2 linked regions of the Arabidopsis thaliana genome follow. The protein of the gene in region 1 interacts with the protein of each later gene in a pairwise test. Each region holds a gene or a part of one and is shown on either strand. Other genes may lie near its edges.

Region 1 (4,415 bases):
ATATTTGTAACAACTTTCATTGTTTTTCAGTGTATGATTTTTGTCGACAAAAAAAAAAGTGTATGATCTTATACAATGTACATTCTCAAATTTCACTATGATAGAATGAAATGGAAAAAAAATATCTATAGTGAAGTTTACATAACATATTTTATCGTCAACTTTAAAACTTTATTTTTTATATAATAAGAATAATAAACTAGAAACCATACCCATCGAAATGCAGAATTATATGGATAAAATAATTTATGATGAGAATAAAAATAAAATGTAGGAATAATTTATGAGATGATGCAATACAATGGTCCTTGGGACTTGATATCTCTCACTCACTCTCTCTCTCATCTCTGAACAAAACAGCACTCTATAGTCTATAGGGAATCCAAAACATTCATTCAGACCTGTCTGAATCTTTGAGACACAAGTTTTTGTTTCCCACAGGGTTGCCACTTTTTTCCAAATTACCATATTACTCTCTTTCCTTTTTTTATCACCCATTTTTTTCTATTTATTAGTAAGATTTTTTCCTTCAAATAATAATAAGTCTCTACAATTCAACAGTGAATTCTTCTCTCCATATTATCTTATTAACTTACAAAAACATTTCAAAAATTATTTTGAATTAATTCTCTGTCGCTCCAGCTATATGGTCCCAACATCTTTTGTCTCAGATTGGGTGTAATTAAATGTTTAGTTGTGAGCAAAAAAAAAATCATGTGATTATTTTTTTGCATTCATGTGAGTTTATTCAAGTATTTAGCATATGTAGTAGTTTATAAAAAAAAAACTCATAGATACTCCATATAAACGGCCAATCATAAGGGCATCGGAAAAAATAAGGAGATAAAAAAAAAGAAATTTTTAAGTACAAAAAAAGAAGAAAATGTTAAATTTCTCAAAGAAAGGCAAAACTTTCTCCTTCTATGGAAAAGAGATGGGAATAATTATGATGATTATAATTTTGTTTTGTTTTGTCTTAATTAATATTAATAAAGCACCGTGATGCGAATCAACGGCTCAGCCTCATCGCACTCACCGTCTATAGTACTCGCCACCACCGCCTTAATAATATCATTCTCTACAGTCTCAGCGCACGTTAGCGTCTGCGCCTTCTTAGCCTCCGATTCCCAATCTGTGGTCCCCACCACGTACATCATAAGACCTGCGCAGCTAATCTGCGCCGCAAGTAGTCCTACCCAAAGCCCATTAAACCCAATTCCGGCCCAAAACCCGAGACCCACTGCCACCGGCATGCCCACCAGATAAAACGCTCCAAGGTTCACGTTCGCCGCCGTTGACGGTCGTGCTGTTCCTCTCACGACGCCGCATCCCACCGTCTGAGGACAGTTTCCGATCTCGCATAGACCTAATATCGGTAACGCCGCCGCTGTTAGCTGGAGTATCTCTTTGTCTCCGGTGAAAATCCTTCCCCAAGCGTTTCTGACTGAGTAAGCAAACGCCGCCGCTATAATCCCTGTAACCGCCGCGAAAACGATAGCCACCGTAGCCGTTAGCTTTGCTGTCTTGGGACGGTTGGCTCCAAGTTCGTTTCCGACTCTAGTTGAGACAGCAAAGCTAAGAGAAGACGGGAAAACATAAAGAAACGACGTCGTCTGGATCAAAACGCCCATAGCAGCCACCGTCGATCTTGGATTCACGAGCAAACCACACAAAACGATCATGATCTCGTACCACCACCATTCCAAACACACGGAGACACAGCTTGGTCCCGCGAGACGCAGCAACGGAGCCCACCCGCGGAAACAATCACGGGTCGGGTCAGTCCATGTAGGCGCGTGAAGACCACTCGCCCAGACGTAGCAAACGAGGAAAGCAACGACGAAGATGTTTGTGATGGAGGAAGCGACTGCTACGCCGGTTAAACCAAGACGGAGGTAAGAGACTAAGAAAAGATTAGCCGGGAGGTGAAAAACAGCGCCGGAGAGAGAAGCTAGGGTTACGGGGTGAATGATGCCTTGAGCACGAAGGTAGATTCTGATTGGATGAAGAAGAGTGTTGGTGAGAAGATCAGGTAGGGAGAAGATGAGATATGTCTGAGCTAATTTCGCGATGTCGGGGTCTTGGTGAAGGTAAACCGATATTTTGCCGACGTTAAACCAGAGAACCGAGATCGGTACGCAACAAACCAAGAGAAAAACCACGGTTCGATGGAGGGTTAGGGAAAGGAGTTTGAAGCGGTGAGCACCGAAGGCTTGAGAACAGAGTGGTTCCATACCAAGAGCTAAACCGGATAAAACAGAGTAACCGGTTATGTTAGCAAAGGCAATGGCGAGTGAACCGGCGGCTAATTCGAGGTCACCAAGTTGACCCAAGAAAAACATTGATACGGCTGAGCGTAGGTAGAGGACAAGAGCCGTCACGGCGATCGGAAAAGCTAACGTGAAGAGAGATTTCGCCTCTGTTACAGCTTCTGCCATAAGAGGAGATCCTCTGTTCTCACAATGCCGGAGATTTCTCTTTGTGGGTTCAAAGCTATTGATCGAGAAGAGATCGAGGAAGAGTCCGGTTCGAGATTCTTGGTTCTCTGAACCGGTGGTTGTTGTTGTTGTTGATGGGTTACACATGACGGTGATGATGATGATGGTGTTGATGAAGAAGAAGAAAGATTTGATCTTTAATGGGAAAGAGAAAGAGTTCTCTCGTGAAGAGCTCTCTAATGAGTATGAGAGGTTTTAACAACTGAGAAAATTGAAAGGAAAGAGAGATATGAATTTTTTTTGGTGCTGCTTCTCTCTTCTCAGAGCTCTCTCTTACCATCTTAATAAAGGAGTTGGCAGGATTTTTTTTTTCTTCATTTTTAATTTTTCGAAATTTTTTCATGAAAAAGAATCTAAGCTACTTTTTTTTTGTATATTTAAAATACTTTTAGAAGTCACTTTATATGGATAAATACATTAATAGTAAATTGACAATGTATCAACTTTTTTGATACATGAATGATTTGTGACATAAGTTGGAAAAAAATCAACTAAAATCAAATACTTACCCAAATGTAATTTACTGGTGGACCATACACAAAGATGCTGTATCCGATACGTATTAGCAAACTATAAGAATATACGTATCAAATCCGAAATTTTAGAAAACCTACTAGCTAGGTCAAGGGAAAAAAATTAAGAATATATGACAAAACTTTTTAATCTTATGAAAAAAGTGGTTGAAAGATATGAGGTTAAATTTTATTTTTGGTCAATTAGACAAAACATTGTAGAGCATCCAATGGTTTGTACTAATATTGCTGTTGTATCACAATCTATATTCAAGATTTGTGAGTGTAGGTATATATGGCTTATTAACCCACATATATGTATAACAAGTTCTTAATATATTGCATAGATCTTGGTCAAATCCAAGCTAGTTAAGTTTAGTTCAATACTACTATACTAGTGTTTATGGTCTTGAATACTTTGTAAAATCAGTAAAGGATAAGCAAAAATAATCTAGGTATACTAAAATAAAATTATGAATTAAGATAGACAAGGCCAATATTACAGTACATCTTTTATCTAAAGACAGTTCAATGTAACGTCTAAATAATTTAAAGTAAGTAGATTTTGATTAGCATATATAGTACAAGTTCATTGCACGTGAACTCTCGAATCCTTTTTAAACGACCATTTGGCACAAAAAATGTGTTTGCATTTACTTAACTTTGAATTTCTTTTTAATTTGTCTTCTTCTTATTTTTAATGTGTTTGTTTAAAATTCACGAAAATGTCCTTGTAAAATTCTTTTTGTTTTAAACTATTTTGTGCTGAATTTCTTATACAAATAGAATTTTATCTCTGTTAAATACACTATTTTTGAAATAGTTATATAGTTAAATATAGTATTTGGTAAATTATATTGAATTTTAGAATAAATCAAACATATATTATTATTTTGCGAAAATATTAAAATGATATATTTTTTCGACCAAAGTAAAGTCCAAGGCCATAACCTACCACATGAAGTTATGAATCAAACCATGCTTAGCGTCGCTACCATTGTTTACTTACTAAACCAAAACCGAACGAAGAGTCGAACTAGATATCTTATCAAAACTTGAATGCAAATCGGTGATTTATAATTAAAGACCCAACACTAAAATTAATGTTTCGCTTGACTCTTTAATCAAAGCTTGAAAACTATGGTTTACAATTAATTTAGCCGTTATTTCATGTTTTGTCTCCATCCGGTGAACAAATTAGACTTAAACAGCAACTTAAGTCCCGGATACATCTTCGTAATGGTTTGCATATTAAGAAATGTTTGTAATTCACAATGGAGTTTAAATCTCCAGCTATTAATGGCTTTTCTTTGACTAAATAACCTTCCAACCAATATTAAATGAAAACATATAGCAAGTTTCTTATAGATGAATTAATTATAAATAATATATAGATTTGTAGTAA
Region 2 (5,380 bases), 1.7 Mb from region 1:
GGGAAATCTAAACCCTTTGAAGCAACATCGGTCGCGACCAAAACGTCTTTTTTCCCAGCTTTGAACAAAGATATTGCGTAATCTCTGTCTTCTTGATCTTTTCCTCCATGGATAGCCACTGCTTCCACTCCTTTCAGTAACAAGTACTCGTGAATATCATCAACATCAGCTTTGTTCTCACAGAATATTAAAACCGGTGGAGTGGTTTTCTGCAGACACTCCAGAAGGTAAACAATCTTTGCTTCTTGCTTGACGTATTCAACCTCCTGTATGACATCGAGATTCGCAGCTCCAGCTCTTCCTACATTAACAGTTACAGGTTTCACCAGAGCACTTGTGGCAAAGATTTGGATTTTTGCAGGCATTGTGGCAGAAAACAAAAGTGTTTGACGCTGAGACTTAAAGTGGTCAAAGACATGTCTTATGTCATCTTCGAAACCCAAATCAACCAACCTATCTGCTTCATCCAGTGTCAACAACCTGCAAGCATCTAAGCTCATCTTTTTCTTGGCGAGGATATCCTTCAACCTTCCAGGAGTAGCAACAACGATGTGAACACCTTTCTTAACAACGTCCAACTGTGATCTCATATCCACTCCTCCAATGCATAGCAACGACCTCAACCGCGGGTATCCATCCTCGACTAAAGATGCCACAAACTGTTCAACCACATCGTAAGTCTGCTTAGCAAGCTCTCTAGACGGACAAATAACAAGCGCAATGGGACCTTCTCCAGCAGCTATAGGCATCATTATCTCCTCCTGCAGAGCTAATATGATCATAGGAAGCACGAAAACCAACGTCTTTCCGGAACCAGTGAACGCAATCCCAATCATATCTCTGCCAGACAAAACAACAGGAAGACCCTGAACTTGGATAGGAGTAGGGTGCATTATTCCTTTATCCTTGAGCATACGGAGAAGTGGACTCGGAAATTTCATATCCATGAAGTTTTTGATTGGAGGAGGAATATCTTCACCGTTAACTGTAATATGCCATTGCTTCCTAATCAAATCCATCTGTTTGGTTGACATCTTCCTAACGTGCAGAGGGGGTTTCCACCATGTTGAGAGAGGCTCTGTATAAGTGATACCTCTGGCTAATTCACCAACAGACATAAGCTTCTTCTTGTCAGATAAATGCTCCATCATCCCCTTCTCTTGTAAAATAATGGCCTCGGTAGCACTGACTTAAGGTACATGTCGCTTGAGCTGAGTTGCTTGAACAAGTAAGCTAGGTTTAGCTTCTTCAGTGAGCTTTACCTTGCCAGGTTCTTCCACCACCTTTCGCTTCATCTGCGCTAGACGCTCCTCTACTGGAACATACTCCACGTAACCATCATCTACTTCCATGATTCAAAATCCACTCGCCAACTTTTTCAAAGATCGAATCCAAACCCTAATCAGCAGATCTCTCGACTTTCAAGGAAGATCACGCAGATAGATATGACCGACACGGAGTTTTGGTTAAACCGGGGTTGGGGAATGATCGGGTGTGTTGTGTTTTCTGATTATAAGCAAAGAAAAGAAAAGCTACAAGAAGAGAGTCTCAATTAGAATTCGTATGTTGACAAGGAGCTAGGTAAAAGGTAGTTTTTCAAAAATTTAATTTCCATTTTTTTCATATATTGGATTGAAAAATGGCAATGACATGAATCATAGGATTATCACCACATTTAAAGATGTAGTATTTACATAACAATTGCAAGAAATAATACTACAAAACTTCCTATCTAGTATAGACGCTGCCAAAGAAATACATACGACGTTTTTATCCACACGCATTGATGAGATTGGTATATATCTCTGTCTCTGTCGAGTGAAAAATAAATTAATAGAGTAATAATTAAAAGCTCTCTCTCTCTATCTCCCACGATTTCCTTTTTCCGCCGGAAGAAGAAGCAAAAAAAAAAGAAATCGAATCTCTCTTTCAAGTGTTCGATTTAAAGCAAAAGTGTAATTATAATCGGAAGCGAGATCTTGAGAAATGGTGGGATGACGGCGGAGGGAGATGGCGAGGGGAGGAGGAGAATGGACCGGAGGGATCGCCGGAACCGGAGTTCTCTCTTTCAAAAGAATCACTCTACTTGTTTGCTTTTTCAACATTCTCATTGCTCTCTTTGTTCTTCGCTTTCTCTATGCTTCTTCTCTCCACATCTATTCCAATAACGATAATGGTTCCTACTTTTTATTTTCCTTTTCATTTTTGCTCTCTGATTCATGATAATTCGTATCTGAAGCAGCTCTGTTGGTTTTTTGTTATTCAGTTGTTAAGTACACAGCTGATGAGATTAGGAAAATGGAGGAATCTATTCGGATTCGAAGATCGAAGGAACCTACTCTGATTCTTCAATTGGTTAGTGGCTTTTTAAAATGGAACTCGAAGATGCACATTGGCTCTTCTCACAATGTTTGATTTCCTTGTTAGGTGAAGAAGCTCAAGCATGAGGTTTCCACTGCAGAATCTAGTACTGAACTATCTCCTAATGTTAAACACAAACTAGTTGATGAGATCCTCCAGCGTTTGAAAAGCTTTGAGGACAAATCTAATGTTACTCAGCTTAGAGGTTTGTGCTACTCTACTATGCCCATTAGCTTCATGACATTTATTTTTCAAACTGCCACAAACTTGCATTTCATGACTTTTCCTGATCTAGCTGCTTAGGATTTGTCTTATTACCTCTTTGGAATGTCATGGTGATTTGTCTTATTACCTAACCTGTGTAAGATTTTGTTGGTATCAATAGCTCAGTTTAGTAAATATTTCATTATCATTCATGTAGAAGTGGATTTTTGCTCAATAATGCATATGGTTATCAGGATAGTAAAATAGGCTCACAAATTTCAGACCTTTCTGCATGCACTATCACATACTAGACAGAACAATTGATTTTAGCGGGATTTTCAATGGAGATTTTTTCATGCCTAGTTTTTCTATTCTTCTTGTATAAGTTCATCAGGTCTATGGAACATAAGCTCTAACACCCACTTAAGTTCTGTTATAATCTATGCATTGATGATCATATGCTATGTACATGAAACATTTGAGCCACAGAAACTCTAGCGGTGGTGCCATTGTATACATAATCTTTTCGATGTTCTTTAGATTCTCAGTAGCTTACCTAACATGTTCGTATGTCTCAACATGCTTCTCTAATTCCTTTCTACTGCATCAGAAAAAGTATGCTCAAGAATTCCAAAAAGTCATGATATTTACCTTTTTGACTTGTTAAAAGTAGATTTTTCATTCTATTCACTTCACTTGAACAACTCTTAACATTTATTATGTGCTGACTAGGCTAATGCGCAATGTGCGTTAATTCTTAGTTATTTACAAGAGTTATTGGAAAAAGGTGGAAGGTAGGAATGGGTTAATTTATTTGGTTAGAGAGAGGTGACAAAATTCTAATAATCCAGACTTTGAAGACACTGGATTTCTTTTTGATGCTTCAAACTGAGTTCTATTGTTTTCCCTTGTAGTATTCGTAATGCACGTAGACTTGTTAATGTTTTCGCCTACAATAGTTTTCCTTTTGACACATTCATGTTATCTCTGTAGTGACCTTTAATACCTTCTTATCTTCATTTGGCAAACAGAAGTTGTAGAAACGTGGCGCAATGAGAAGCTGGAGGAAGCTAAAGAGCTAATTCAAGGGCAAAATGGAGTAAATTCCACCCTTATAGTGGAGGAAGCAGGTATTACTCCTTTAGAAAGATTACTGAGTTTCTCACCTTGAGCAAAGATTCATTTATGGAGTCCTCCCGATACTCTATCCTTGTTTTGTATAATTAGAGAGAAAACTAATTTTTGTTCTGTAATTATCTAGGGATGCTTGTAAGAGCTTTGGAGTTGGAGTGGGATGTGCTGTCTGAAGAAATCGGTTTCTGGTTACCTGCTGAGGTTACCAATGTAGAACATGATGATAAACCTGAAGGAGAGGAAGAGCCTGGTAATGTTTTCAAAATTTTCTACATTCTTGATCTCTGCTTTTGCATTTATTTGGGTGGAAAAGTGTGGTGACACTGGCGAATTCAAATCTCATGAAGTTGTGCATTTTTTCCGTAGAGGAAATATTGGCAGGCAGACCAGTGCCAGCTGTATGTAATGCAGAGCTTCACACAGATTATGGTGGTGCTGCAGTGAGATGGGGGCTTACACATCATAAAGAGAGTGCAGCTGATTGTTGCCAGGCTTGCTTAGACCAGGCAAAGCGTGCGAAACCTGGAGAAACGAGATGCAATATTTGGGTTTATTGCCCATCTGAGTTTGGTTGTTTCTCTCCAGATATTTATGAGCATAAACATCAGGAGTGTTGGCTTAAATACGTAAGAACTTACCTCGTACACATACTACTTTACCCAATTTTCAGTTTCCTTGAGATTACTCGTCCAAGTTGGACTGGAAGCTTGGCTCATATCCAATATGTCTATGTGAATTGCAGGCAGAGAAGCCAAAACAGAATTTCAAAGACAGATATTCTGAGACATACAGAAACAACCACCCAAAAGCGCCATCTATCGTTCCATGGGTTTCAGGTGTTGTAACGGCTTGAGCAAAACCCATGTGGACAGATTGATGGGAGAAATAGGAGATAGTTTTGGTTTTTTTTTCTCAGCTGTGTTACCATTTTCAGAGTCTTGAAAATTGGAGTACCGTACCAAAGATGCAAACATCTTTTGGCCAGATGTATACGAGGGAATAGAATGTTTTGTTGTTTTTGTTGATTGGCTTTAAACACTTGTGGTCGAAGTCGAATATGGTGTAAGGAATCATGTTTTTGTTCAAGCTTGTTCGATTCTATAGTGGATGATTAAAAAGCTATCTATAAACATGACGAATGTCTGTCTCCTGTTATATGATCAGATCAAATGTTTATGTCTGGTCTGTAATTATGTCACAAAACATCACAGTAAAACTCTGAAATGAAATAATGGTTGAAATATAGGAACTAAAAAAAACAAAGCAGAAATTACGGAGGGAAAAGAGAAAACAGAGGAGTGTGTTCATCTTTTGCTTCCGGGGTTGTCTCTATTCTAAATATAGACTTTCCAATTGTGTACCTCTCTTTTCTTGTCTTCTTAATCAGAAAATCAATAATTCTCTTCTACTTTCTTCATTTTTCCCTTTCTCTTGTAAGTCTCTCTTTTCATTGATTCTTTCTATTGGTGGCGAGCTTCGTTCAATCGTTTTAGCATTTCTCTTGTAAGTTTCGGCCTTGCTTTCCTCCGATGGAGGATTTGAAAACAACAGACGCACTATCTCTTCCAGTTGTTAGTGATAATGGTGGAATAATAGAGCCTGAGTTGCAGCTACCTCAAGCAATACCAACAGAACTTGAGAATAATGAAGAAGAAAATGGGACAATTCAACAATCTCAAAG

What was found.
Region 2: the proteins of ADS1 (region 1) and AT4G33380 interact in a protein complementation assay, tested with the Arabidopsis thaliana proteins (one large-scale study listed by BioGRID).

Annotation. Positions count from the first base shown.
Region 1 is NC_003075.7:14,367,318-14,371,732, reverse strand, and holds ADS1 (MATE efflux family protein), read right to left. Parts: upstream 2,857-4,415; 5' UTR 2,586-2,856; coding exon 987-2,585; 3' UTR 538-986; downstream 1-537.
Region 2 is NC_003075.7:16,070,054-16,075,433, forward strand, and holds AT4G33380 (dimethylallyl, adenosine tRNA methylthiotransferase), read left to right. Parts: upstream 1-1,686; 5' UTR 1,687-2,010; coding exon 2,011-2,176; intron 2,177-2,266; coding exon 2,267-2,355; intron 2,356-2,427; coding exon 2,428-2,566; intron 2,567-3,596; coding exon 3,597-3,695; intron 3,696-3,826; coding exon 3,827-3,949; intron 3,950-4,065; coding exon 4,066-4,325; intron 4,326-4,441; coding exon 4,442-4,552; 3' UTR 4,553-4,861; downstream 4,862-5,380. Other genes in the region: AT4G33370 (DEA(D/H)-box RNA helicase family protein), read right to left, coding at 1-1,154, 1,263-1,352; AT4G33390 (WEAK CHLOROPLAST MOVEMENT UNDER BLUE LIGHT-like protein (DUF827)), read left to right, coding at 5,229-5,380.